Medicago truncatula: one gene and its partners. The protein of the gene in region 1 interacts with the protein of each later gene in a pairwise test. Links are inferred from orthologs where the notes say so. Each region holds a gene or a part of one and is shown in the gene's direction. Other genes may lie near its edges.

Evidence for each region.
Region 2: the proteins of transcription factor TCP4 (region 1) and transcription factor TGA9 interact in binary tests that used the Arabidopsis thaliana proteins (3 or more experiments, as listed by UniProt). The link is inferred for Medicago truncatula from reciprocal best matches to the Arabidopsis thaliana genes TCP4 and TGA9.
Region 3: the proteins of transcription factor TCP4 (region 1) and axial regulator YABBY 4 interact in binary tests that used the Arabidopsis thaliana proteins (3 or more experiments, as listed by UniProt). The link is inferred for Medicago truncatula from reciprocal best matches to the Arabidopsis thaliana genes TCP4 and INO.
Region 4: the proteins of transcription factor TCP4 (region 1) and basic leucine zipper 43 interact in binary tests that used the Arabidopsis thaliana proteins (3 or more experiments, as listed by UniProt). The link is inferred for Medicago truncatula from reciprocal best matches to the Arabidopsis thaliana genes TCP4 and bZIP43.

What each region holds. Positions count from the first base shown.
Region 1 is NC_053049.1:24,584,029-24,591,906, forward strand, and holds transcription factor TCP4, read left to right. Parts: upstream 1-4,868; 5' UTR 4,869-5,836; coding exon 5,837-7,138; 3' UTR 7,139-7,172; intron 7,173-7,275; 3' UTR 7,276-7,723; downstream 7,724-7,878. UniProt on the Arabidopsis thaliana protein: Transcription factor playing a pivotal role in the control of morphogenesis of shoot organs by negatively regulating the expression of boundary-specific genes such as CUC genes, probably through the induction of miRNA (e.g. miR164).
Region 2 is NC_053043.1:42,414,988-42,422,925, forward strand, and holds the start of transcription factor TGA9, read left to right. Parts: upstream 1-4,911; 5' UTR 4,912-5,217; intron 5,218-5,313; 5' UTR 5,314-5,344; coding exon 5,345-5,460; intron 5,461-5,537; coding exon 5,538-5,626; intron 5,627-6,000; coding exon 6,001-6,080; intron 6,081-6,297; coding exon 6,298-6,549; intron 6,550-6,858; exon of another isoform or gene 6,859-6,973; coding exon of another isoform or gene 6,974-7,072; intron 7,073-7,283; coding exon 7,284-7,328; intron 7,329-7,428; coding exon 7,429-7,488; intron 7,489-7,595; coding exon 7,596-7,673; intron 7,674-7,773; coding exon 7,774-7,822; intron 7,823-7,938. UniProt on the Arabidopsis thaliana protein: Together with TGA10, basic leucine-zipper transcription factor required for anther development, probably via the activation of SPL expression in anthers and via the regulation of genes with functions in early and middle tapetal development.
Region 3 is NC_053046.1:14,608,739-14,615,767, forward strand, and holds axial regulator YABBY 4, read left to right. Parts: upstream 1-4,346; 5' UTR 4,347-4,437; coding exon 4,438-4,518; intron 4,519-4,639; coding exon 4,640-4,774; intron 4,775-4,889; coding exon 4,890-5,019; intron 5,020-5,125; coding exon 5,126-5,174; intron 5,175-5,264; coding exon 5,265-5,340; intron 5,341-5,495; coding exon 5,496-5,600; intron 5,601-6,235; coding exon 6,236-6,313; 3' UTR 6,314-6,509; downstream 6,510-7,029. UniProt on the Arabidopsis thaliana protein: Essential for the formation and the abaxial-adaxial asymmetric growth of the ovule outer integument.
Region 4 is NC_053048.1:6,000,265-6,006,329, forward strand, and holds basic leucine zipper 43, read left to right. Parts: upstream 1-4,664; 5' UTR 4,665-4,782; coding exon 4,783-5,358; 3' UTR 5,359-5,554; downstream 5,555-6,065. UniProt on the Arabidopsis thaliana protein: Probable transcription factor involved in somatic embryogenesis. Acts as a positive regulator of BHLH109.

The sequences.
Region 1 (7,878 bases):
CGGAGCGCTGCGCCTGAACAAAGGCGATGGGCGCCCACAAGTCAGTAAGCCAGCACTGGGCGCCCCACTGCCAGCACCAGGCGCCCTGGACAGGGCAACATGCTTGTTGCTCCGTGTCCAGGTGCTTGGGGGTGGTCGTGTAGGGGCCCTAGGCGATCGTTTTGAAGTGTTCTTTTGCTGTTTTCACCTACTTTTCTACTGGAACACATTTAACTTTGTTGAAACTTTAATTTTCCAAATAGTTTGAAGCTTGTAATTGTGTCGTTTTCGGTTTTCTGGAAATTGTCGAAACTTGGTTTTTATGAACAAAAAGGGGTTGCAAGCTTAGTCTACAGTTCTTATGGGCTTAGGCAATGCTTGTAAGGTTAGTACAATATCTTAATCATGTCAAACTTGATTTTCGGGTGGGATTGTGGAAAATGTGAAGTTGGGTTTCTCATACGAACTTAAGTTGTTCTTGGGTTAATGTCCAATGACCCGGAGGCAACTTAAATTCATGAATACATTGTCGATTAAGATTGTTTGAAGGTTTTCAAGTTGTCTATGTCGTTTTGCTTTGGGATTTGTCAATGTTGGTCGGTGACCACTTGATATGGTTTTTGGTCGGAAATGTTTTCTTGAGCCAATTGTCTTATGAATTGTTGTGACCATTTTTATATGACTAAGTGAAGTTGTATGAATGAATGATTGTATTGGATATGATGTTTATCATGAGAGGTGTATGCTATCTTACCTAGTATGTAAGGAATGCTTGAATGGTGAAACCACATGTGATAGTTGATGTTGAATGACATTTTTTGATTATTGATAATCATGTTGATGTGAGATGATGAATACTATGAATTAATTGTGTATGGGCATGTTTTCTTAATAATGCAATGTTGTGGAGGTAATCAATATAATTGGGTGTCGTCCTATATATTGAGGTGAAAATTATGGATTATTGTCGCATTATCAAGTCCTTGTACATGTCCATGCATCATAGTCGTGTTAAAATTTTATATGATGTTTTATTCATTATTGGGCTCCGGCCTTGCATAGATCTTTTTAGATCTAGTTACGATGTTTTATTCCTTATTGTGCTCCGACCTAGTAGAGATATTTTGAGATCTAGTTTGTGAACTTCGGTCTTGCAGAGACCCTTGGTGGTCTGGATATGGGTGACGACCTTGAGGAGATTGGTACCACATGCATATATGTGTCAATAGGTGCATATCATGACATGAGTCTTATTGATAAATGTGATTGGTGATTGTTCGTGAAATATGATTGAGGATTGTTCATGATGTATGTGATTGGTGATTGTGTATGAATAATTGTGAATTGATATTTGTTCATGATACATGTGATTGATGAATATTGATGTGAGATATTGGGGTGTGATGTAAGCATTGTTATGTGAATATTATTGATCAAGTGCATGATGTTTATATTGAATTTTCATGTTAACTGTTATTTTGTTTATGATGATGTAATACTTACCCCCAGTGGTTTTAACCGCCTATCTGTCTGTATGGATGGGTAGACGTTGTGCAAGAGTAGTGCTTGGTGACTTTTGTGCTTGGTGGATATCGGGAGCTTTCTCCAATATCGGTGTTTAGTGTTTAGTCGGCTCTGATCTAGGCTTCATTGTGTCAGTCTAGATTAGCTTTTGTTGGACTTTTGTTATGTTTGGAGATTACCCGTATGTTGAGATTTTTGAGATGCATTTATGTTGATGTGATTATTGATTCATGACATGTATATTTGGATCACTCTGGTTTATATTCCGCTGCGACTGTTGAAGTTTATATACATGTTTATGTTTATTGGTTTTGAAATTTGTATGTGACGTAGCCTTTATTTCTTAAATAAATGCATTATTCGCATGTTTAATTGCTTTAATAGAAATAGGAGTGTTACAACACGTGTCCACACTTAACGTTTTTTATTAAACCTAACATAAGGGACCAAAACGAGACTATTAAAAAACTTAAAATACTCAAACAATTTTTTTTTAGTTAAGGGACCAAAGTGATACCAATTAAATACTTAAGGGACCAAAAGAGCATTTAAGCCAACAAAAAAAGAAAAAGAAAATTAGTGTATTAGTGAGATTAATTCAGTTAATAAAAATAATGCATAATATATGTAAGAATCGAGGTTGAAGCTCCAGCCACCATAAAAAAATATTAAAAGTAGTAACCATGATCACCACAAAAAAAGTAGTAAACTATTATTGTTATTACTATTATTATTATTATTATTATTATTATTATTATTATTATTATTATTATTATTATTATTATTATTATTATTATTTATTTTATTTTATTTTTAACGACGGAATGTAAAATTTGTAATGTTAATTTTTGTATTTTCAAATTATTAAAATGTTGCAGCAATTTAAGTTCATACGAATAAATAAATAATTTTTGTATAATGATGTAAAGTTAGTGAGACCTACTTAAATACTCATTGGAGTCCTTAGAGCAACCACATTGGTAGGGTCTTTACCATTTATGATCCGGTATCTAATAGGTACACTCAATGTAGAAAAATAAAATTGAGGGTCTCTTAAGTCACATAGTCTCACTTAATACCACCATCTTAAGTGGACCCAGTGGCGGAGCCAGGAATATTGTAAAGCCCGGGCAAAAAAAAAATTGCAACACATTTATAGGGCGTACATAAGAAATTGCAAGCAAATAATAAAAAATGTAAAGAAATTGCCCAATTTATAGGGGTTTATATAAGAAATTCATAGGGATTTACACAAGAAATTACAAAAAATTTGGCCCGGAGCCCGGGCGAGTGCCCGGGGTTGCCGGGCCTTAGAACCGCCCCTGAGTGGACCCCACACCAGTTTTTAATAAAATAATTATTATTTGAGTTGATTTTGTTGCTTTTCAATTGCAATTTTCATTCTTGTTTTCTCTAATATATACTCCCTCCGTCCCGGATTAACCGAGTCAAAAGCTCATTTCACAAGTATTAAGAAAAATGTATAAATGAAGGAGAGAGAAAAATAATTTTAAGTGTACTTGTTAAATATTAGTGCATTTTCCACTATCATAAATGTAAAGTGGAATATATTGAATTGAAAATGATGAAAATAGTTTTAACCAGAGTTATAAAGAGAAAAAAATAATTAATATTGTATTGAAAAGTGAAATGACTCAATTATCTTTAAGATACTTTTTTTTTCAGGAAATGGCTCACTGAAATGGCTCAGTTAACTTCCATAATGCTACCACAGTGTATCGTTGGCTTTTCATTTTTGCTCTCATTTTCTCAAAGTCCCTAAAAATTATTCATCCATTCTTATCCTATTTACTCATAATTAAAATCACTGTGTCGTTATATTATTTTGGATAATGAATCCAAACCAAATAATTAGTTATTGTTTTAATTATGTAATTTTATCATCCTTTTGAAAAAAATTGTAATTCTTAATATTTGGCAATATTATTATTAATTATTTTTCAATTTTTTAATAAACTACCGTTGATATAAATTTTGTAACTTTATATTTTAATCGATTTAATATTATAAAATAGATAACAATGTATTAAATAAATAGTTATTGGTGGGATCTATTTAGACCCTACATATATAATTTTTTATATCTGTCTCTCTCTTAAAAAATTATACATGTAGAGTCCATTTAAGAAGTCCATATTAATCGATTATCATTGTGGATGTTCTACCTCTTATATTAGAAAATTGTGTAGAAGTAGTTCCTTTTATATTAAAAATTGTATAGTTGCCTTATATATTTAACTTGTATTTTTTTTTTTAAATCACCAAATTTTATTAAATAACCAGATCGCTGCTCAAGACGAAATAAAGACCGATGAGAATACAAATAAAATGTGTCATATATAGGCTGAACATGCAAAATAAACATCCTAAAAACACCCATAATGACGACACCCACCAAAATATAGGTCACCATATAAAACAGACTCCTTAACAAAAACGACCATTGTAAAAACGATATCCGACCATCCATCGTCGCCACTCACCCCTTTAGATTCCATTTAACTTGTATTTTCAACTCGATTTTTTGTTTAGTTTTTTAAATAACATCCTTAAGACAGTGATTGACCAAACATAAAGAAACAATTTGACTTTGCAGAGAATAGGACAACCATGCAAAAACTTAGGCAGACAATGTTCCTTTCAGAAAAGGAAGAGAAGGGAAGCCTCCAAGATGACGTATACAGTAATTTCACAAACCAGATAGAAGTAAAGTAGTTTCGAGGAAGAAGTAAATTCAGCGATCTATGTTACTGCGTAGTTTCTTTTAAATGATAAAAGGGGTAAAGATAGAGAGAGAAGGCCAAAAAAGCTGTGATGGTGTCCCTTTCAAAAGGTGTGGTGGTAGCATATAAAGGATCTATCCCTCCAACAAAGACATCCACCCTTGTCTTTTTGAAATAATAATAAAGTTTTAACTTGTAACAAGCAAGTTAAACTCCCAATTACCAATAATAAAAATAGGTGAATTAATCTATTTAGTCTCTGAATGCTGAGAAATTGTAAAATAGTCCTTGAATGTAGACTCTATTGGTCAATTTTAGGGACTAAAGTGATTAACGGAATCTACATTCAGGAACTAAATAGGCTAACGAAATCTGCATTCAGAGACTAAATTGATTAACAAAATCTATATTTAAGGATTATTTTACAATTTATCTGCATTCAAGGACTAAAGTGGCGCCTCATATTCTATTCAGGAGCTAAATGACTAATCTCTCAATAAAAATAATATAACAAGGAATGGAGGGAAATTAAAAGCAAAAAAATAGGAAAAGAAAAGAGGGAAAATGGAAGGAAAGTAAATTGGTGAAAGGTAAATGAATGAAAATTGGATAGGTTGGTGGTAATATGTAAGTAGAGTACAAGAAAACTAGCAGAAGAGCAGTGATGAAATAAAACGGACGTCCATTCTGACCAAACACTGCCACCCTTTGTCACTGCCATCATCATCAAAAGCCTCTTTCTTATAGGGCCAGAATGAATTCCTCTTCCCTATACCCTTAATTTACTGTTATCTCTCTCTCTTCTTTCCTTCTCTTGTCTTCCTGTGTGTTGAGATATGGAAAATTTGCTGGATTTTTCACAACAGGACACCTCTTTCTCGTCCTCTACAAGTGGGTATTAACCAACTCATTCTGCTCTCTTCTACTTTCATTCATTAATTAATGCAACAATAACACTGGTATCACACTTCATTCAACTTGCAAAAAAGGCAAAAAGTGGTACAGACTTAGAGAGAGACAGATAGAGGAATGGGTTAGGCTCAAAACTGTTAAAGCATTCTTGGGTTTGGTGGTGATGATGGAAATGGGAAAATTGAAGTGGTGGCAGTTGCAACTAGAGTGTGAGAAAAGGAAACAAAACCATTGATTTAGTAGTAGTGTTGTTCTGTTGAAAGCTGGAAGAAGATAAGCAGAACAAGGGTCTGAGTCTGGATCCCCCCAGAACAAATTATCATAATCATCCTCTTTATCAACAAAACCAACAAGACCCTCATCACCATAACTCTGTTCTAAATTCAAGTTATGTAAGGGATAATGAAGAAGAAGAAAATGATGAACAAAATTCATCTCCCTCATCTGAAAAACCCCTGCATCATCCTCACTATCATGACCAACACCAACACCAACACCAAGACCCAACCTTTCATTTTCATCACCAGTACTTTCAACCACCCCAACAATATCTAGATTTAGAACCACAACCAGAGTCACTTGAACCACCAAAAAAACGGTCTTCTTTTCTTCCACCACTACCACACCCTAATCCACCAACATCATTATCTTTCTCTTCCATCGAATATGCAAGAAAGATGGGAGAAACAATACACGACCAGCACACAGGAACAGCAACAGCAACAGCTACAACAACAAAAACAGCAGCAACAACCTCGTCGAAGAGAATCAGCAGCAGCGGAGGAGGAGGAGAAATCGTGGAGGTACAAGGAGGTCACATTGTCCGTTCAACAGGACGGAAAGACCGTCACAGTAAAGTTTGCACCGCGAAAGGTCCCCGTGACCGCCGTGTACGACTCTCAGCCCACACTGCGATTCAATTCTACGACGTGCAAGATCGTCTCGGCTACGACCGGCCAAGTAAAGCAGTCGATTGGCTCATTAAAAAAGCTAAATCTGCTATCGACGAACTCGCTCACCTCCCCGCTTGGAACCCCACAGCTACATGTTCTTCAACACCACAACAGCAGCAGCAGCAGCAAACAAATGAAATGTTTCACCGGCAATCTCCGGTGGACAACAATCCAGTAACCGCTTCTACCAGTCACCGCTCAGCGGCATTAGAGCGAAGAATGCCACCACACGAACAACAATTTCCTTCCCAACAACAACAGTTGGAGATAGACTACAACAGTAGTAGCAGTGGGAAACATGGTTTTCTTCAAGGCTCGTTAGACACTGACATTGCGGATACTATTAAGTCTTTTTTCCCAGTTGAAACGCCCACCACATCTTTTCACAATTATCAACAACCGCCGGATTTACTCTCTCGAACGGCGGCAACCACCCAGCAGCAAGATCTCCGTCTCTCATTGCAATCTTTTCAAGATCCTATTATGCTTCAGAGCCACCATGACAACCACCACCACCACCACAATAACAATAACCAAGTGCTTTTCGCCGGAAACTCCTCCCTTGGTTACGACGGTGGTGGAAGTGGAAGCACCTTGTGGTCTGAGCAGCAACAACAGCAGCAGCATCAAGAGGAACATGATAACGGCAGATTGAATAGAATGATGGCTTGGAATGCTAATAATATTAATGCTAATGCTGCAGATGGTGGTAACAGTGGCCATGGTGCTGGATTTGTGTTCAGTACACCGGCACCGGCGTTTGGCGGTTATGGTCAGTTTTTTACTCAGAGGGGACCCCTTCAGTCCAGTTACAATCCTTCAGTTCGTGCTTGGATAGATCCTTCAATGGCGACGGCGAATATCGTTGATCACCATCATCACTATCTTTCGCCGATGATCCATCAGGCTTCTGTCTCTGGTGGTGGATTCTCAGGCTTTCGTATACCAGCACGAATTCAGGGTGAAGAGGAACACGACGGCGTATCCGATAAACCGTCCTCTGCTTCCTCCGACTCTCGCCATTGATTGGAACACTGATAAAAATAATCCAAACTTTCAGGTTCTACCTTCAATACCCAGTTCTTAAAATTTCAATTGAGTTTCTCTCTGTTTTATTCTTACTGCAATTTTTTCTTTTTATTGTGTTTTGACTGTTTTTTCAGGTTCACGGTTTGCGTTGCAGACGGTCTTTTTTGGGAGAGAGCTTTTGGTTTTGAAAGAGCTACAATTGGAATTCAAAAGCAACTTGGGTTTGGATTTTTCAGATGTTTCAACTTCAATTCAATGGCTTATATATATATATATATACCGTGTGGGAATGAAGAAAATCTGGTTTGATTTATTCATTCAGATTTATCAATTTCAGTCCCCCGGTTTTGTACTACAATTTATCTTTTGTTTTTCAAGCTTTAACTAGGACTAAGAGTACTACTATGTTTATGTTTGTGTCTAATTTGCTTCATTTGTGTCCTTGGATTTCAATTTGTAGTAGTTGTGTTGTGTTTTCTTAATTAGAACTTGTTCCATTTCTAGTTTCGACTAGTAATTTGGAAAAAAACATGCAGATTAAATAACTGAGCTAGCTTGCTCAAAAGTTGTTGTTTATTTCCATCTTGGTGTAAAACCCCAGTTGCAGAATGAAGCATTTTCTCCTTGTCACGAAAAAGGTAGTAAACCCAAATAACCCGACATATAAATTTTGCATATTCAAACTTGTGTATGATTTTGGCTTTGGTTGTTGGTATATATGGTTAATGCTGTCTTTG
Region 2 (7,938 bases), on another chromosome or scaffold:
GATGAATCTGATGTAATCCTATGGGAACCCTAGTTTGTTGAACTCATTTGAATATCAATGAAAGTCTAGTTTTAATTCATATTACTTTATGTTTAATGCTTTTTGTGTTTATCATCGACTACTAACCCTAGCTTTATGAATATGCAAATCGATCTTAGAGATTGAATGACCACTAACCCTGGCTTTTGACTTTGATCTAGGTAATAAGTTTAACCTAAGTAATCAAGCTAGAGATAGATCATTATTAGGCTATGACACAGGGATTAACGTTCTGTTAATACCTCCAACAGTTTCAAATTAATTCACTTAAGAGATTAAGGAGTTGTCACTTGCAGGGAGAATTCTAGGTCAAGAGATTGGGTAGAATTACTTTGTTAATCTATCGTTAAATTAGATAATCATTGCTTGAATTAGGAGTGCAAATTACCATATGAGAACTTCGGAGGATTCAAAGGTCTTAACCATACATCTCTCTAATTTTCTAAAACCAAACTTTTATTGTTTTTAATCCGTTTATTTTACAAATACCAATCTAACTTCCTAGGGCAACTTTGAATTTAATACATCTTTTTTGATAAAGAAATTGCAGAGTAGAAGTTAACAACGGTCCTCGTGGATACGAATTTATTTATTACTTCGATAGTTTTGGTTCACTTGCCAAATATCTATCATGACTCGTAGCCAAGTCTGAACCCCGTCCTGAGTTTGGATGAATCTATTAGGGAGGCAAAAGGAAAAGAAGAAATAAAAAAAAAAATACTAAAAACAATTAATGGTAGCTTAAACTTTTAATAAATGGTTCTCAAAGACTCACTAAACTAACACATCTCATTCTCGGCATAACCCTTGTTCAGATAATACTTTAACTCAATCAGGTGAGGAGTCGACGCTATTTTTCCCCTCTTAGAAGGAAGCACATGGGGGTCGTAGGATCCCACATATCATATCTTCGAAAAAAATCTTGAGACCCCTCTCATTCAATTTATCCTTCTCAAAGAGCATTTTCTCTTGCATGGCCTTTTCCAATAAACATCAATTCAACATAACAAAAAATTGGCTAAGGGCACCTGAATTAGACCACCCTCTTCATCCGTTGATTCGCGATAGATGCAAGTCATCTTCTTTGCATTCGTTGAAACCTTCCGAATTTGATAATATTTGTCTTTGAGAGAATATGTCGGGAGCTTAAAGATTTTACTCCCATGTTTGAAAAAGTACACGCATTCATTTCCTAAAATATTTCTACTCTCAATCCAGAATAGGTAACATAATAGAAAAATCAAGGTGTAATCCCCCATGTATTGGCACAATGACTCGTAGCCATGTACGAACCCCATCCTGAGTTTGGATGAATCTATTAGGGAGGCAAAAGGAAAAGAAGAAATAAAAAATACTGAAAACAATTCCTGATAAATTAAACTTTTAATAAATAATTCTCAAAGACTCACTAAACTAACACATCTCATTCTCGGCGTAACCATTGTTCAAATAATACTTTAACTCAATCAGATGAGGAGTCGACACTTATTTTTCCCTCTCATAAGGAAGCACATAGGGGTCGTAGGATCCCACATATCATATCTTCAGAAAAAATCTCGAGGCCGCTCTTGTTCAATTTATCCTTCTCAAAGAGCATTTTCTCTTGCATGGTCTTTTCCAAAGAAGACACATGCATCAACTAAAGGGCAACTCAAAGAACGTGGATTTAAAAGTGCAATTATCACAAACAAATCTTGAGACATTGCTGAAACAAAAGGTCGCATCATGTGTTACCTCCAAGTTACACCCGGGACATTCGAAGATAAATATCACCCGGATTAAAACTCACCACATTCTGTTAGCACCAAAAAATTGCATGAAGGTTACTTCGGATTTTTGAATGCTACAAAGACCTCGTCTCAAGCCAAAAGCCAATGACTTGTGGCTACTGTTTTGAACCGGGATGACGCACAATCCTCTATATCTTTATTCCACTATTACAAATAAGTTCCAACAAGGCGTCCACATGCTAGTATGATCTACCTGGATCAATGAAGAGTCATGTCGTAGAGAATCATACACTTAAGAGGTACCTGCTTTTCTTTTGCAAATATTATAGATGAAAGCACTTCTACTTTAAAGCAAAAACCAATTTTTATTTTGAATAAAAAATTAAGGTAAAGGGATGGTACCCGATCTAAAGCGTGTTTATAAAGGTATTTGCACTTTTTTCCCTCCAATTTAAACATCATTTTTTTCCCGCCCACTTTAAACAAAAACCAACTTGTTTCCATAGGTATTAATGAACATCTTAAACCAACTTTGAACTCCTCTTATGCTAATCATCTAACTTACTGATATTTAATTAACGACTGATTTATATAGGTTTGAGTGAGGGAATTTGTCAAATTCCCACTAATAAGCAGTGTGACCAATACTAGTACAACTTTAGAAACTACATTGTCTCCTGGCATCATGGGTCCATGGCCAATCATTGATTTTTGTCAATAAATATGAATTGTTAATGCAATGTTACCTCCTATACGTGACATCCTTTAAGAAAAACTCCTATACATGACATCTCTGCTTGATCTGCAAATGACCATTCACCTATAGAAAATGGTCACAACTCACAACTGCTCAACGTTACTCTCGATGTGAATTTAGACCAAGATGCAAACTGGTCCACCTATGACCACCCTAGTAAAAAAAATTAATAAAAAAATTGCACTTTTAGTTACACACTTTGTCGACACGTAATGACTTAACATATTAATAAGTTTAACATAATCAACAAAAGAATAATTAATTTTGGGATTTGATTCAGACCAATCACCTTTCTAGATAGGTAAAACAAGAGACCTCAAAGAATTACGGCTCAAGGGAGTGAAACATTCAAGGAAGGAATGACCTAAATTGTCTAAAGCTATAAAATCTTCTCAAAGACACCCCCACATCAATGAGAAGTTGTAAGGTATATTGGAGACAAAGGTATATATTCATGTATATTATTTATGCAAATAAAAATATGTACTTTAAAAATATATTGACCTAACCCATTGGAGTGTTTATATTTTTTGAGCCAAACCATATATTTTAAGACCAATGATTGGCATCATAAAGGAATAATTGGTAGGAGGCATATTACACCTGCAATAGGTATTAGATGACCACAAGTATAAAATATTGTTTTTTACTTTATGATATGGATCATGGGTCCATTACATAAAAAGTCTCCTTTATCCTTCTACTCTTTCTGTCTGTCCTTTCTTTTTATGCCTTGGATATGTTACACATTTTTATGTGGTCAATAATATTGGTCCAAAAAATTATAATTTATATTGATAGACTTTTTTTGGTTACAATATATCGATACACTTTGAAATTGAGGAAATAATCAACTTTGACATTCATAATTTATAGTATGTCATAGCATTCAATAGGCTAGTCTGAAGTTGACGGATTAGTGTGATTAAAGAATACTTCTACCGTCTCAAAATATATGTCATTTTAATATCTATATTTAAAAATGTAACTAGTTTTGAATGAGAAAGAAAAATTATGACTTATTTAACAAAATCGCTCTTTATTAATAGAATATATTAAAAGAATTAGAAAAGAAAAAAATTAATAAATAGCAAATGGTAGTATAATAGAAGAAGAAGACATTAATGTTTTATTAATTTTTGTAAAACAGACATAAATAAATGGACAAAATTAATCAATAAGAATAATATATGTCTGTACTCATGTTGAAGGGTGGGAAAAAAACCAAAAAATCAATTCGAACGGCTGAACTGAACCGAACCAAACAAAAAAAAATTGAGTCATTACTAACAATTCTGAAACTGAACAGAAACAGTTCGGTTCGGTTCAAAACAATTCAGTTCGATTCAGTTTGGTAACTAAAATTTAATTTCGTTTGATTTTTTTATATATTTTTTTTAATGGTACCAATAATAACAGTTCCGTTCGATTCGAAACAATTCAATTCAGTTTGAAACAGTTCAATTCAGTTCAAAATGCAAATAGTTCGATTCAGTTCAGTTATTTTAATTTTAACAAATAGTTCATAATTCGGTTCAGTTCAGTTAATTTAAATTTAACAAATAATTCGATTCGATTTAGTTTTCATCATAAACCAAACCATGCCCACTCCTACTCCTATTAGATAAAGTTTAGAGATTTAACTAGGATAAAAATAGTCATATACAAACTACATATTAGATTAGTGATGGAAAATGAAATGAAATTGCTAAGTATTGGTATTTGATGATTACCATATGTACTACATATTGCTATCTGCAACAAGATTTGCATTTCTATAAGGAGAAACGAATCTTAACGTGGCATGGTTTAGGTGAAGACAGAGAGTGGATGTTGACCCATCAACAAAGGGGATAATACCAAACAAATCCATCTCAGAGCTAAGATTAAATACACAAAGTGGTTATGTTTATTATATTCTACTAGTATATAATGTTTTGGTTGAAACGGTATGAGCCTAAATATTTTGTTTCTATGTGTAACAAAATCAACTTTATCTTTCTATTTTTTGCCAACTTCAATAAGAAAGAAAACTCAACTTGAACTCATACTGAATTTATTGTGTTCCCATTTCCAAGATCAAAAATGCATGAGTTCTTCATTTTTTACTATACTTTGTTTTATTTGATTTCTTACAAGTACATATATATAGCCCCACAACAAAAGAACCAATAAGAAAATTCAGGCGGTTACAAGAGAGATAGAAGAGTGGAGTAGGAGTCAATGATTCTAGTGGGTTCCTGTAATAGGCCCCACCTGTTCAATTTTATAATAAATAAGAAAAAACAATTTTTTTTTTTTTGTTTTATTCAATTTTTTTTATATTTTATTTGAGCCACCTTTGAACCCCACAAGTCTAAAAAATGAGCCTGAGACAATTTTTTCTGGGACAATATATTGTGTGAGTTTTTTCTTAATTCAATATATTCATTCAACTAAGGACAGTGTGTGAAACAGACTAATCAATAAGGTTTCTTCATAGAGAAGGAGAAAAGAAATTGATATAGACACCCCCCTTATAAAAGATAGAAAGTTGCAAAGAGGATCATATCTGAAGAAAAAGACTGGACCCTCTTTCTGTCACAGCCTACAACTTTAGATTATATTAGATATTATTACTTTGACAACAATAAGCTTTGATCTTTCTTTGCTTCTCTTTATACAATTCTAATTATTGATCATTCTTATAAGGTAATTACACAAATGACATCATATATAAGTATGCACAAACTATATACCATATGATTATATTTTGTTTGTTTATGTGAATTGAATTTTGCTTTATAGGATATGAGAATGGTCTAAAGAATATTTATGCATGGCGAGCCAAAGAATAGGAGAACTTGATTTTTCTGAGACAGGACATTCAACTCATCATGTCCCTTATGGAATTCATCATAGGATTAATAATAATAATCCTTCATCAAGCTTAATGTATGAGACAGTACTGTTTTATTCATTTTGGTTTGTATAGTATTTAATTTAGTATAATGTTTTTGTTTGTTTGTTAGGAATGAAGAATCTGGTTTTGATTTTGGGGAGCTAGAAGAAGCAATTGTTTTGCAAGGAGTTAAGAATGGAAATGATGAAACAAAAGCATGTAAGTTTTGCTTTTTTTTCTATCAAATACCACTTTTTTTCTGACCTTAGATAAGCATAACCAACTCTTTCTAAAAGTAGAGGGAAAGAAAGAAAAAAAGCAAAGGTTTGAATATGTCTAAAGAGTGCATAGTTACCATTTCCAATACCATAATGATTCTGAGGCAATAGACATGGGAAGGTGTGGGGTTACAAACTTGGAAACCTCACTTCCCTTTTGCATGATTTTTACTGACTCCATAACTGCTGAAATATAAAGTTAATAGATTAGGTTCTTCTTTTCTTCAATACCTTTTACAATTATTTTGGTAAAAAATTTAAAGCCTTTTATTTTGGTTGATCCTCTCAGATTTTTTCTTTCATGATTCTTTGCAGCTTTTTTCACAGCCAGACCTGCTGCTACACTGGAAATGTTCCCTTCTTGGCCAATGAGATTCCATCAAACCTCAACAGTAGTAATACTCTCTCTATCTTTGACCAATCTATTTTAATTATGCTTATCATAGATGCTTCTTATATAATGTTCAATTCAATTTCAAATAGAATGCATGCTTTTTTGTCATTGTTTTTCAGCCCTTGTCGCATCGATTCGTTTAAAATAATGCATGCGACGATATGAGCCGATTAAATTATATATTTGAATATACTAATGATTTGTATTTGGAAATACAGGGAGGTGGTAACAAATCAGGAGGTGAAAGCAGTGATTCAGCACTATCAAGCAAAAATGAGAACCCTTTTGAGCCAGAATCACCCTTAAGTAGTAAAAAAGCATCTTCTTTTTCATCAGATCATAATAATAATATGGATCAGCAGAATCTTCAGCTACAACAACAGAAGATGATAATATCCAATGATGCTTCTGCTGCTATAAGAACAGCCTCTTCATCACAGAATCAAATATCAGCAGCAGCCAAAGAAAAGGTTAATAGTAAAAAAAAATAATCACTGATACTGTTAAAGTGTTAAATCACTTAGTTATCTGTTTCCATATCCCATAAACTAAGGGAAAGTTTGGTCTTTCTTTATTTACTGTTTTGAATTTGTACTATCTTCTTGGTCACGTAAAAACAGCACAGATCCCAACAGATTTCAGAAAATCAAAACAACAGAGAGTTTTCCTGATTCCTGAACGATTTTCTGACATGAAAACATGATAGAGAGAGAGAGAGAGAAGGATACTAGTAGTATTATGTTGTACTAACAAAAAAACAAAGTGAGAATCTTTTGAGTACTTATCAAAGTTTTTTTTCGCATTAAAAAGTGACTCATTCTCACACACTCTTCACTTGATATAGTGAAAACTTGTGTTTCTCTAACACAAGTCTAAAGAAACAGTTCACAAAAAATGGCTGAAAATGATCCATTTTGCTATCCATATCACATTGAAGATGATTGCATTCCTACTGAAAAATGGTCAAATGGACTTCAACATTCTCAAAATTCAGTGAGCACACTTTAATATTATCATGCCATCTTTTTGTTCTTCATTGAATTAAAAGTGTAGCATTTTTATATGCTTAACAAATTTTCTATTTTTCCCTCACTCATTTGCTTAACCATGCATTTTTGTTCTACACTTGAAATATTTGTGTATGTCTTTCTGTTTTGCTTTTAATTAAATAAAACTTATATATGGATAATTTCTTTTGTTGTAGAAAAAAGGAGCTGGTTCAACATCAGATAAGCCACTTGATGCAAAGGTGTTTGTTTATATTTAAGTACAAATGTTCATTTTTATTATGTCTTTTTTTTCATGTTGATGTTTTATATGCTAAGGTAAAAAATTTGTACTTGTTTTAGACATTGAGACGTTTAGCACAAAACAGGGAGGCTGCAAGGAAAAGTCGTCTAAGGAAAAAGGTTTGTGTGTCCTATACATATACATATACATATAGATACACAAAAGTTGTAGAAAAATGTAAAAATGAAAGTATGAAACTTACTCATTGAATTGAATTTTTCTATAGGCTTATGTGCAACAACTTGAGTCAAGTAGATTAAAGCTTACACAATTGGAACAAGACCTTCAAAGAGCACGCTCTCAGGTACTAAAGTCAAATATTGTTATATAATATATAGTTTATTTTTATTATTATTTTTTACTTTTATTGATTAATTATTACATAAATGTTAATTTAAAATTAGGGTATGTTCATGGATTGGAGTGGTGGTGTTGGAGGCAATATAAGCTCTGGTGAGTTTATTTTTCATATGAAATTATGTGTATTTTCTAATTTGTCACATTCAGAAACTTACCATCATTTACTATAATTTAATTTTTTTTTTTGGAAGTATATATAGGTTTTTTTA
Region 3 (7,029 bases), on another chromosome or scaffold:
CAACTCCATTACATCACAACTTAACATTAATTTTTTTGAATGGACACTGCAATTTAACTAAATCTAATTGAGGCCAAATAGTATACAACCTCTTTAATTTTATCTTTATAATCCAATCCAAATAGTATGCATCTGACAAAGTAAGGTGCATGCATTGACAACTGAGTAGTTGGAAACTTTTGATTCATTTTGAATTGACAACAGTGACACCTCAATGTGTCACTCTACAAGGTTTAATGATCTGAAATTTGACTCACCAATTTTAGTTCAAACTTCAAAAAACTTTCAAATATTTTTAGTCACTTTCCATGAGGTTGAACTACTACATCTCACAATTATGAGATAGTCTATTCAATTCTGATATGTGCCTTAAAAGCTAACTCAATTTACTCTTTCTCATTTTAGTAATTCATGCCATGAAATCGGTGCATACCTTTGCACTTTATAGTTTTCTCAGGTTCATGTACATAGCAAAAGTTTCAGTGAGTCAAAGACACCAAGGCATTCCTATTGTGAAATAACAGATTGGAATTGAGGTGTATATATGGTAATATATATTGAAAGAAGACAAATTTTATTTCTTTTAGAGCATGAGCAAAATTTGCTATCTTTGGATAGAATGATGCTACCATGTATCTGCGAAAAAGCTTCTTATATTTCCCTTTGATTCTCAAAGATAATATAAAAACATTCTCCTTTTTACTAAATATAAGATTTCTTTGCAGAAAAAGTGCTTATAAATATAAGCAATATCCTCTAAACAAAAATATAATATAAGTCACATTTTTAAATGGGAAATGTTAAGTATATTAAAATAAACAAAAGAAAAATAGTTCTTGGGATACTAGACAAAAACCCAAAAATCAAAGATGTGCCAATACAATTGCCTCCCAAAAACTTTAGAAAATCCAGTGAGATAAAACATTGGTGAAGAGAAAAAGAGTGCGTCATAACAAAAGCAAGCAAAAATAAAAACATATGAACGAAATCTAAAACAAAGAAGATTCTGACGATTAAGAAATAAATTCTCCTTTGATCGTGTATTTTCTTATAGGTCTATGATTAAGATAATTTATTTTTTCTTTCTACTTTTGAATTACATATTTCAAGTTGCGATTGAACCGATTCCATAGGTTTCTTATGTATCCATAGGTATTATTTGGATAAAAAGGTTCATTCTCTTTGTAAAAAAAGGAGGTAGAACCGATAAAGATTTCTTTTTTTATTTATCTCCAGAATTGACTACCTCATTTACGAATTGTTTAATACAACGAGATAGCGAATCTCACCAAGTAAAATTAGATAGAGAGAATACATTATTGACTATGTGATCAACACAATTGTTTTCTTGTTTGAAAATGTGGCTAACTCTTGTGAGTTGTGATATATACACAATATATTTCATGATAATCATGACCTTATATAAGCTTATTCAAATAAAGAGGAAATCACTTTGATTTTGACAAATATCATATTCACCCTAATATTGCTGTTTTTTCAGGAAAATCAGAGCCCAATAATTTTCATAAGAATTGTATCATTATGTGATTTTGCAATTTCCATGAAAGTGATTTCCAAAACTCCTCTAACGAGTTATAAATAAGCTCTAAAGTAGGAGTGGTTATAATTAATGCACAAGGGAACAAACACACAATCTTTTAGGGCTGTGACAAAATTTTCAAAACAGAAAAGTCCAAAATAAACAATGGAGAGGGAGCTTACAAATAAATGAGATTATAATTGCAAGAAGCCAATAACATCTTTATCTTTATAATAGGCTACAAAAATTGACTTAAAAATAATAATGCAGCAATAAGAGAGGTATATTCACGGTTTTTGATTCCTACCTACCTCACAACTTTCGTTCATTTTGTTTGTGGGACATAGCTATTTATCATAACACGTAAAGAAGTTTCACAAATGTGGTTCTTTGTGAGAGAAAAACTTAGTCCTAGTCACCCTATAAAGTAGGCCCTAGGTTTATAGGAATAAGATTGCAAATGTTAGTTGTTTGCATTAAAGAAGCAAGGGCAATTTTCATATTATAAACCCCACCCCCCTTTAATTCAATGACCTCATGCAACAAAATCTAATCCACTTTAAGATATGTTAGAAGCTAAACCTCTTTGTCAATCTTATAACACAAGGAAATGATGGACTAATTCCTTCGCTTGAATTATCATTCTCTTTTATTTCTCAAGGAAACTAGGGACTAATTTGAAGGATTAATAATAATTTAGGGATTATTTAATATATTTTTATAGTTTGTGGATTAAGTTGACAAAAGTGTGATAATATAGGGATCAAATTGATGGTTTATTCCATAAAAGATAGAGCGTTGCTTGCACTTTTTCTAAAAACAATTGAATTGATCAGTAACTCTTTAAAACACAAGAAATATAAAAGACATTTTTAACTCTGCCTAGCAGCGCAGTTTGTTGTCGGCTTGCCTTCTATTCATGTGTACGGAATTCTTAATATATATAAAAAAAAAAACTATCAATAAAAGGATCGGCTGATTCACAAAATATATTTTCATAAATCATATATAATCAAAGAACTTTTGCTCTTGGTTTTCATATTTTGTTGAATGAATATTATTGACCCTCCAAAATCTAACTCATGGGCAATCACATGGGAGAGAGTTAAGGAAACAACAGAAATAGGTTTTGAATGATATGGATAATACATGGTTAATGCAGAATCCTATAACTCAAATGTGAAGCAAAAATAGATGAGAAGTGACACATGCCTAAAGAGAGCACAGAAAGTGGGGAGGATCCTTTTTTTCATTGGTCAATTTGTTTTGCTGTCTTTCATGAAAGACAAATCCTAATAAGATGCTTCTTTACCTTCTCCTACGTGCCCTTGTGGAAACTTACACCTCTTTCTATTATAGAAAAAATTTCTGCACTTTCATTTTCTTCTAGGACAGAGAAAAGGCTTGGAGAGTTATAAGTGTCAATAAAAGAGAAAACAACACATGAAACAAACAAGTACTTTAACTCATTCTGCGAAGTACCATAGAACTTTGAGCCACTGCAACCAATGGAGAAGTTTGCCAGTTATTATAATAATAACATTCAACCAAATAGGTGAAATTAACATAAACTCTCTTCTCAAGGGTGTGATTGTAATTTTACTCCTAAATTTGTTAAGAGCCCTAATTTGAATGAGCTTATGGGAGGACCTACGTTATGGTATGGTCTGACTATAGCAACACTAGTCCAACTCAAATTTATTTTAAAAAATATTAAACTTTTACAATAGTAGGAGTTCAACGCTAGATTTAATGAAGAGAGTATTGAATTTTTACAATGTGTTGTATGCTTGAGTCAAGTATCATTATTTATAACTTTTGATATGTACAATTTATTAAGAATGATTGAGCTTTATCAAAATGATTTTATGGACGTGCTGGAAGTGGTGGTGCACCATTAGTTTCAGAATTATGTTAGAAATGTTCGAGGTGGCCTCAATTTTACAAAGTTGAAAGGACTTTCAGACCTTTGTGCAAAGTTTGTAAAAATAAACAAGTGCACTGCATTTGATGTGGTGTATAATCTTATGAAATTAGCTTTGGTTTTTCCAGTGGCAACTGCAAGTGTTGACCGTGTTTTATGAGTTATGAAATATGTTAAGAGTGTAACTATCTAAAAACATGAATGATTAATAGTTTTTTTTTTTTTTGAGAGAATGAATGGTTAATAGTTAAATGATCGTATTGTAACTTTTATAGATGAAGGTGTTATTTTAGCTCATTTTCATCAAATGGGTGATAGACTATTTTCTTTGTAAATTTAATTGTTACTTACTACTAATACATAAGTGTTTGTTATTTTTAGTATAATTTACTTTGCCAAAAATTTTAGCCTCACTAACAATTTATTCTTGGGTTCGTCCGTGAATGAGCTAAGGCTTGAAAAACATGTTTATAGTATCCCAAATTCTAATATGGCATCGGAGTCTATCCAAAATTCACCAGGCCACTTATTATTAGGTCACCGCTACCAAATCACCCGAGTTACGCTTCAGACGTCCTGTTGTCGGTGTGAGGAGTGTGTATTAAGAGTGCACATTGGATAAGATAAAGTCTAAAAATGAGTTTATAAGCGGTGGACAATCGTCACCTGTGGATATGGGTAGTCGTCACCTTACAAGCCGGTTTTGTAGGATTAGTAGACCTCAAAAATAAAAAATACAAACAAACCACGTACATCCTTAGCAATGTTGGAGTGGTTTCCGGGAATGAAAATCAGCATTATCTCAAAAATCATTAAAGTGAGAAGATGATTGATTATGAGTGTTCAACTTCAACTATAAATGCTTCATTGTGTCAAAAGAGTTACATTACATCTTCATATCTTATATCCCTTATTTCTCTTCCTTTTCTCTTCACACCAACACCGACTCACCTAGCTACACATTAACACACTCATGTCAACACTAAACCATCTTTTTGATCTTCCGGAACAAATATGCTATGTACAATGTGGATTCTGCAATACCATTTTAATGGTAACCATGAGTTTTCTAATTGCACTTCTTAAGTTCATGATATTTACTTTCAATACCTATTTTTTGTTTTCATTTTCTTCTTTTGTTTTTTAACTGTTTTCATTTCAATTGTGTGATGCAGGTAAGTGTTCCATGCAGCAGTTTGACAATGGTGGTGACAGTAAGATGTGGTCACTGCACAAGTCTCTTATCTGTTAACATGATGAAAGCTTCTTTTGTCCCTTTCCACCTTTTAGCATCTCTTACTCATCTTGAGGTCATAAGTTAAAGTCACATTTCCAATACTTTGTTTATTTTCTTATAGTTAGGTATTTGTATTATATACTAGATATTAACTTAAAAAACTATTTGTGAATATTTTCACTATGCAGCAAAAAGAAAGTAGTAGTCCAGATGAAGATGCAAACAAGACTTTGAACAGTAATACTAGTGCATCCATGATGACTTATTCTGATTGTGAGGAAGATGATGTAATTCCAATCAGCAATGTTGTCAACAAACGTATGTAACAAGAAGATAACTTATTGAGTTTGAAGCAAGTTTAGTATATAGTATATACAATAAAAAAAAATTATTTATTTGATGAATGAATCATTGTTCTATGCAGCACCAGAGAAGAGACAAAGAACACCATCAGCTTATAACCGCTTCATCAAGTAATTAATATGTCACATTAACAAAAGTTACACTTATCATAAACTTGTAAATTTTTTAATTCTAATATTTTGAGTATAATTTTAATGCAGAGAAGAGATTAAAAGGCTAAAGGCTAAAAACCCTGATATGGCTCACAAGGAAGCTTTTAGTACAGCTGCAAAAAATGTAAGGTCTAATTTTCAAAATCACATGATTATATATTGCAGAACCATGTTCAAAACTAACTAGCTATTAGTTCCACTCATTTAAAACTATAGGAAATTTTATAAGATTGGTGAATTATTCATAATCTTGGATTTTTTTTTTATATATATTTTCAGTGGGCTAATTGCCCCCCAACTCAGTGCAAAGGAGATGAAGAGAGCTGTAGCCAGACAGATCAATTTGTGGATCTTGACTCCCAAGTGGACCCCAATGAAGCAGAGGTAAAAACATAATTATTTGAAGATTAATTATCTAAGTTGTTTTCTTATAATTCACATTTAAGAATTATTTTAGCTTATTAAAACTTGCTATAAGTAGGAGATTCTTTAGGTTTGGCACTGTGTGCATTTATAGTGGTACTTGTCCCTTTCTTTATATCACATGGTGAATAGTAAAGGTATAGTCCATGCATTCAATGGTAAAGACTTTATACCCTCATGTTGTTGGTTTCCATTCACCATGACATTGATCCACCAAACTAGAAACTTCTTGCAGATTCTAAATACATTATATTATATTATTGACTGTCAAAAATTACCAAGAATTATAAACTAATATATATATATAGTTTTAAATATAAGTCAAAATTAGTCAAAAAATTTTATGTATTATGTACTAGAAGCAATGAGTCAACAAGAGTACATTTGAATAAGAGAGGCTAAAGTAGCAATATGACACTTCAATAAATAAATAAATACGTACAACAGGATAATACTAATATAAAATGACACAAAATAATCTTGTTATGTCTAGCAAGTCACTTTCATGACATGTAATTTCCATAGAAAACCCTACCTGTTTTTGTAATCTAGCAGTACTTGACAATTTTAATGACTGCATCAATATCACTTTTCAGGTGAATGAAGAAGAACAAGGATTCCGTGGAAGAAAGGTACCAAGAAATTCCATCTTGGAAAGGACACCATTTGAGTGAATGAATGAATAAGAAAGCTCACTCTTCTGCATATATGACAAGGAAGAAAGCTGCATGCATCTAATGAAGTCATTTTCCTTCTGAAAAAAAGAGATGCTCTTGTCTTGGTAATGAAACATGAATTAAGTAGGTTCAATCTAGAGATAACAATTTGTGACACTTTAGAGTTTGTTTAATAATTGACTATTTTATCTGACACCTTTTATCTGTTATCAACTCCATGAATTAGTAGTATTCAGGGTCAAAGAAATGTTTACCAAGTTCTCATGTCTTAAACTATAATAAGAAATTATAATTACAAAAAAAAGAAAAACTATAATAAGAAATTAAATATAAGCCAAACCTCTACAATCATTTTGACTAGAAAAAAAAAATTAAGAGACCGTCCAGGGTTGTTATAAGTGAAGGCCATATATCTCTTAAACAAATTTTGGTTTCAAGTCTTGTGGTTTGGAAAAAATGTAATTGAGAGAGGAGACTTCATTAGTGGTCCGTCAAGTATTCCCTCATATTTTAATCATAAATAAAATTGATAAATACTTTTTTAAAAAGGATAAGTTGATGATTACTTCGCATCAATAACATACTTACTAAACAATCAAAAATGTGTGGGGCTATATTTAATTTATTTATTTTTAGCAAATTACACATGAATAAATAGTAAAAATAGAAAGATTTTTTTAAAAGAACATATATGTTTTTAAACATTTAAAAAA
Region 4 (6,065 bases), on another chromosome or scaffold:
GTACCACACTCAACAACTTCTGATGTTGTTTCATCAATGTGTTACCATACTTTTTAAATTCTGACATTTCCTTAAGCTACAAAAAACAGTTTCAAAGAGAGAACATTTGTGACGGGTGAAGGTGATGTAGTAATTTAAGCACAATCGCCTTTGTATTATCATGTTCGCTCAAAATTTGTTTAGTATCAACTCGTAAGTTTGTTGTATGCCATTCCTGAACATACTAGAGACAAGTAAAGAGAGCATGTATGGTATCTTCAATACCCTCGTTACTGATAACACAATCAATGGGGCAAGCAACTCCTCTACTGATAAGGCGTGCATAAGTAGGGAAACAATCATAACATACCGTTAAAATCAGATTTTTCACCTTTAACGGAGATTTGATATTCCAAATAAAATTCCAATGTCCCGGCCTTTGAAGGTGAGAAGTGTCTCCAATGTTTTAAGCACAAATTCGGTAAGCGCTGCATACAAAATACTTGCCATTCTTTTCTCCTTTCCATACCAAGGTGTTAGTTGTAACTTGTGGTAAAAGGGGTATATTGAGTGGTATGCAGATCAAACAGGAAAGCCAGAAGATGAGCTTTCCAAGTCTTGGTTGCCTGATCAATCAGTTCAATATCAAGGAAGATTAGGTTTTTTATTCATATGTTTAACGACGATAAGGGGGGAATTATGTAGTTTTTCGTCCTTTTTCAAGCGTTCTTCCCGTCTTCAAATGGCTTGAAACGTAAGATGAAATTTCTCCAACTTGTATTGTCTTTACGTTCTAATAACCATTGATCCTAATTCTTCAAATTCCTTGATTCTCAAATCCCTGATCAATCAGAGTCTTCTTTCCTTCAAATGATTTTGAATGAAAATTCTCTTATGAACAAGATGTTGACTTTCTAGTTGACCTTTCTTTAGATCTTGTTTCAAGTCATAGTAGCTTCTCTATTTGGTTCAAATTCTATCTTATGTGTTCAAATCCTTGATGTTTCAGAACCTAAACTTGACTTAAGAGTTAGAATTTAATTTTAATGTCCTACACATTTGAACACACATTAGCATATCCAATTGTTCTTTTATACTTTGTAATCATCAAAACTTATGAGGCATTTATAAAACTCATTATGGTTCAACAATTTCGGTTTAAGGAAGGAAGATTGGTAATACTTCAATATTTAGTAGGAATCCGTAGGTTGAAAATCTAACTCAAAGTTGTTTGATTAGCCGACTCTCAAAAAAATATCCCACCTTAACCTAAGTCATGTTACAACCCTGCAAGACCTTAAAGCGTTCCCAAACCAAGCAGTTCTTAGGTGTTTTGATGTAATTCAATGTAAAATCATACAAATCGGCAAAGCAAAGCATCTCAAGAGGGTTTGGGAAGATAATGGATGATGATTCAAGAGGTCTCGAAAGACATTGCAAAGAGAAGAAATTATATTCCAAGTTACGAGACAAGTTTCAAGGAAGAAAACACACAGAAAGATCAAAGAAAACGGCAAAAATGCGTTGCCTAAGGCTACTCGTGCCCCTTGGGGGTGTTGTTGCGCCCCCCGAGAGTGCAAACATTGAAGTAGCGCGCGAGGCATGCCATCCCACGTTAGAGGGGCATGTGCCTTCGGTTGAAAAATTCTCATACTTAGCACCTAGGACTAAAAAGTGTGACATACCTAGCACCTATGACTGAACATAGAAACATAGCAAAAACTCTCTTCTAAAGTTTCATACTATATCTTATTATTAATTGTTTTTACTTTCTGCATCTAATAAGTAACACTAGTTAAATAGATCACACACATATAACTTATTAAACACGGACACTGACACATCAACACTGTTAATGTAAAAAACTTAGAACACCGACACCGCTACACATATATTAATTAATTTATTATAATTAAATAAAATATTAATATTGTTTATAGAATATCTAAATTGAGATCAAATTATGTACAACTGCATGTAAATTGAGCAATTTATTTTATTAAAAAACAAAATATAATAATATATAACATTTATTTATCCATCTGTTATCGAAAAAATTAATAAGGTTGTAATCTCACTTAATATATTTAACCTCTATTTGATCAAACATAGCTTCAACACATCTTTAACTCTTCTAGATGTGTTTGAGATGTGTTCAAAGACGGTATTAGATGTGTTGAAGCAATGGGTATTTTTATTTTCTTTTGGATACTTGACTTAGTTTGAGCGAGACATATCATACGGGTTTGAACACCGATCTAAAGAGTGTTAAAGCAAAATAAAACAAATATTTTAGAACATCAGTCTGAAATTTCTGACACATATCATACGAGTGTTGAACTTCGACTCGTGCCTGTCATCACATGCTTGAGGTGATTGTGTTTCATAACATATAAAAGTTGCTTATGCAAGTTTCTATTTTAGAGGTTAATGCAAATAGTGATCATATAACTTTTTTTGAATGGCTTACACTATACACGTATAAGTCACCAAGCTAGTTTTGGGCAAGTACGTACACAACTATTTTTACTTTTTAACAGCTGTGTACAATGAACACAGCATACACCCATCTGTTTCACATAATATAGGCGTGGAAGTAACTAACTAATGATTTACCTATTTTTTTTACCTTGAGATTACTGTTGAAACTGTCATTACTAAAATAAATGATTACTACCTAACCATATTTAAAAATTAACATAAGTGGCTGCTGATCAAATCAAGATTTGGCTTCTAGTTCCATATTTTATATATTGTTTTTGGAGGTCCCTGCATCTATATACTTGAGTGGTTTTTGAGTCACCAAATTCATAAACTTTTCACTCTTTCTTGCTCTTTGAAACTACTACTTCCATCCCCACTTTAGTGTACATTAGGTATATCCTCGCATATAATTGCAGAGATTAATCGTTCAAGTTGGATCAGATCACAATAGAGCGCTAAATTTTTCTTAAATAGTTTCAGCGTTGTTGACTTTTCATAAGTTCCTTTTTTAATTTTCACATGAATTTTTTTATAACTATGTTATTGTTGCGAAATATCGAATAACTTCAGTTGAAAAATCTGACTAACCTTCTTTAGCAAAGTCTCTCTCCCAACCACATTTTTTCATTCACACAACTCGAATTCAAGACCTTACTTAAAAGATTTGAGTCTAGTTCCACCTAGACTAATATAATATTGGTAATTTTCAAATAGATAAAGAAAAGTAGTAGGGTTTATAAATGCATCCAATTATGATTTTTCATCTTCCAATACAAATTAACCGTATCATATTAACAATAATAAGGAGTATATTTAAAAAATAATAATAAATATATCTAATAATTTGAGGGACGCATTTTATTTTTACTAAAATGCCTAAGCAAAAATGTTTTTACCAAAATATATTTATAATTAGAAACATAGCTGATATCATGCCTTCTTCAATATTCTTTTTCATCCAATTAGCTTATGTCATTTAAGTAAACAGGTCCATTATCTAAAAGAGAATCATCTTAGAAATAACACACTACGCACGTTCATATAAAATAAATTGACTTCAATTGAACACCATTTTTTCTCCTGCACCTACTTTAGCCTAAACAGTCTTCCAATTGAATTATTATACTCCCCATTATATGAACTACTTTTGTATAAGTTTATCTGATGTAAGCATATTTTTTGTCCAAAAATGATTATCCATTAAACCAAGTTGCCTCCCCCACACGTTTGTGTCACTTGTGTTGTGGATGTGTTTATCTATATGTATGTGTAACATCTTATTCATCCATCTAGCTTGTTCAATGAACCTAAGGCCCCACATAATGGGAATAGGATTCCGTGTTGTTATAGCATGGTGTTGTAATTAGTGATAGTCGTCCGATCACAGTTGGATGGTAGAAATCGTTTTAATTAAAAATACACAGTTTTCAATCTCAACCGTTCTATCTAAGATGAACGGCTGAGATAAAAAATTATGTAAAACTGCGTGTTGTTTTTAAAGCAGCAAAACCTGATCCCACATAATGGATGTTATTATACATGTACATGAATAAAGAAGCTATGTTTAATTTGCTTGATTGGATTAGCCTATTTAGCTTTTCAAAAACTTTATTAAAAATGATCAAAAGAGTTTTGAGCTTAAAAGCTATCTCTTTTAAGCCAAAATAAAGTAATCCATCATTTTTAAAATACCAAAATGATAGTTTGGATGGATTCATTTAAAAGACACAAAATATAGATAATATATTAAACAATTTTTATTCTTCAATTATCCTTCAAAAAAAAAAAAAAATTTTATTCTTCAATTCATTTGTGTTTTTTTTTCTTCTTCAAATAGAGTTCTCTATTTCTTTCGAAAAATGAAGATGATTATGATCCACTAAATAAATGTCATTAATGACATATTAAGATTGTCAGAAGAGTCTAAATTCATGGGACACAGAGACGCTCACAAACAAAGTAATTCTACACTTACACAAACATGAATAGTAGACACATACACAAACATCAACAATAACTTATGAAAATAAAAGTAATTAAATGTAATCACATGTGACAGATACTAAATACATCTTCCATGTGTAAGTGCTACATAGATCTAACATAATATTAATTGCATATATAGAAAGATGACATGAGTGCAATGATCTACTCTACATTGACATCTTGTTACTTTCCATAGGGCCATTTCACCATTTTCCCTCCCTATATATACTAACTAGTCCCACTCATTTTCCATCCATCTCCAAATCAAATTAAATTCCATACTCCAACAATTTTTGCTTCAAATCCTCACAATCTTATATTCATTATTCCACCATGCAAACCAAAGAGATTAATACAGGACTCAATTATTTACTCCCATATTCAGATCCATCTCCCTATCCACCATGTAACTATAACATGATCCAAAACACCATCCAAACACCTCAACATCCAAAACTCTCCAACCAATTCTATGGTTTCAACCAAAACCCTATTCAAATTCTCCAAGACTTCAGTCCTCCATCCTCATGCATAAGCAGCAACTCAACTTCCGACGAAGCGGACGAACAAAACCTAGGTCTAATCAACGAAAGAAAACATCGAAGAATGGTATCGAACCGAGAGTCAGCACGCCGGTCGCGAATGAGGAAACAAAAACAGCTTGATGAGCTTTGGTCACAAGTTGTTTGGCTAAGGAATGAAAATCATCAATTACTAGATAAGCTCAACAATTTCTGTGAGACTCATGATAAAGTTGTCCAAGAGAATGTTCAATTGAAAGAACAAGCTTCGGAACTTCGACAAATGGTGTGTGATATGCAGTTACATAGTTCTTGTCTTCCTTTGAGTCCTCTTGAAGATGTTCCTAGCATCACTTCACCAAATGTTAAATCTGATTCTTCAAACTAATAAATCACAAGTTCTGTTGATTTGTTAGGGTAAATTTGAAGATAAGAGTCACAAGAGCAAGTTTTAATAACTCTTCAATTTTTCATCTTTTAGTTCTTCTGTTTTTTTGAGTTCTATGAGGTGAAACCATGAAAGGCAATAACATGTTTTGTTTAATTTGAGTATCTTTATTTTAAGTTTATGCTCATTAACTTTACTACTTCCTCTTTGTACCCAAAAAAAAAAAACTATGCAATTTCCTATTTGTCTATAAATGGTGTAGTTTTTAAAGTTCTAATGATTTCTTCTAAACAATAACATTTAAAATGGCTAAGGATAGAAATCCAAATAAATAATTCATAAACCTTCTGGTTAATTAATTGTTGGTCACACTCTGAATATTTTAAAACACTATCATGATTTCCATCCAGAGAACAATTAAAAAAGACTTGATTCGCGACTCTATTGAATCCCAATAACTAAAGAAATCAGAATAGATAAGGAGAAAAAGTAGATTATGTATACCTTTTTTTAATTACACTTTTGGTCCTATCATTTTGACCAACTCACGAAAATGGTCATATCTTTTTTAAATCGAACAAAATCGTTCCTAAACTATATGTTTTTTGCAGTTTTAGTCCTATCTCCCTATTTCCAACTCCAGAAACGCACAGAAATGACAGTTTTAGTCCAACCACCTATGCTCAACCATGAAATAAACAAAGAAT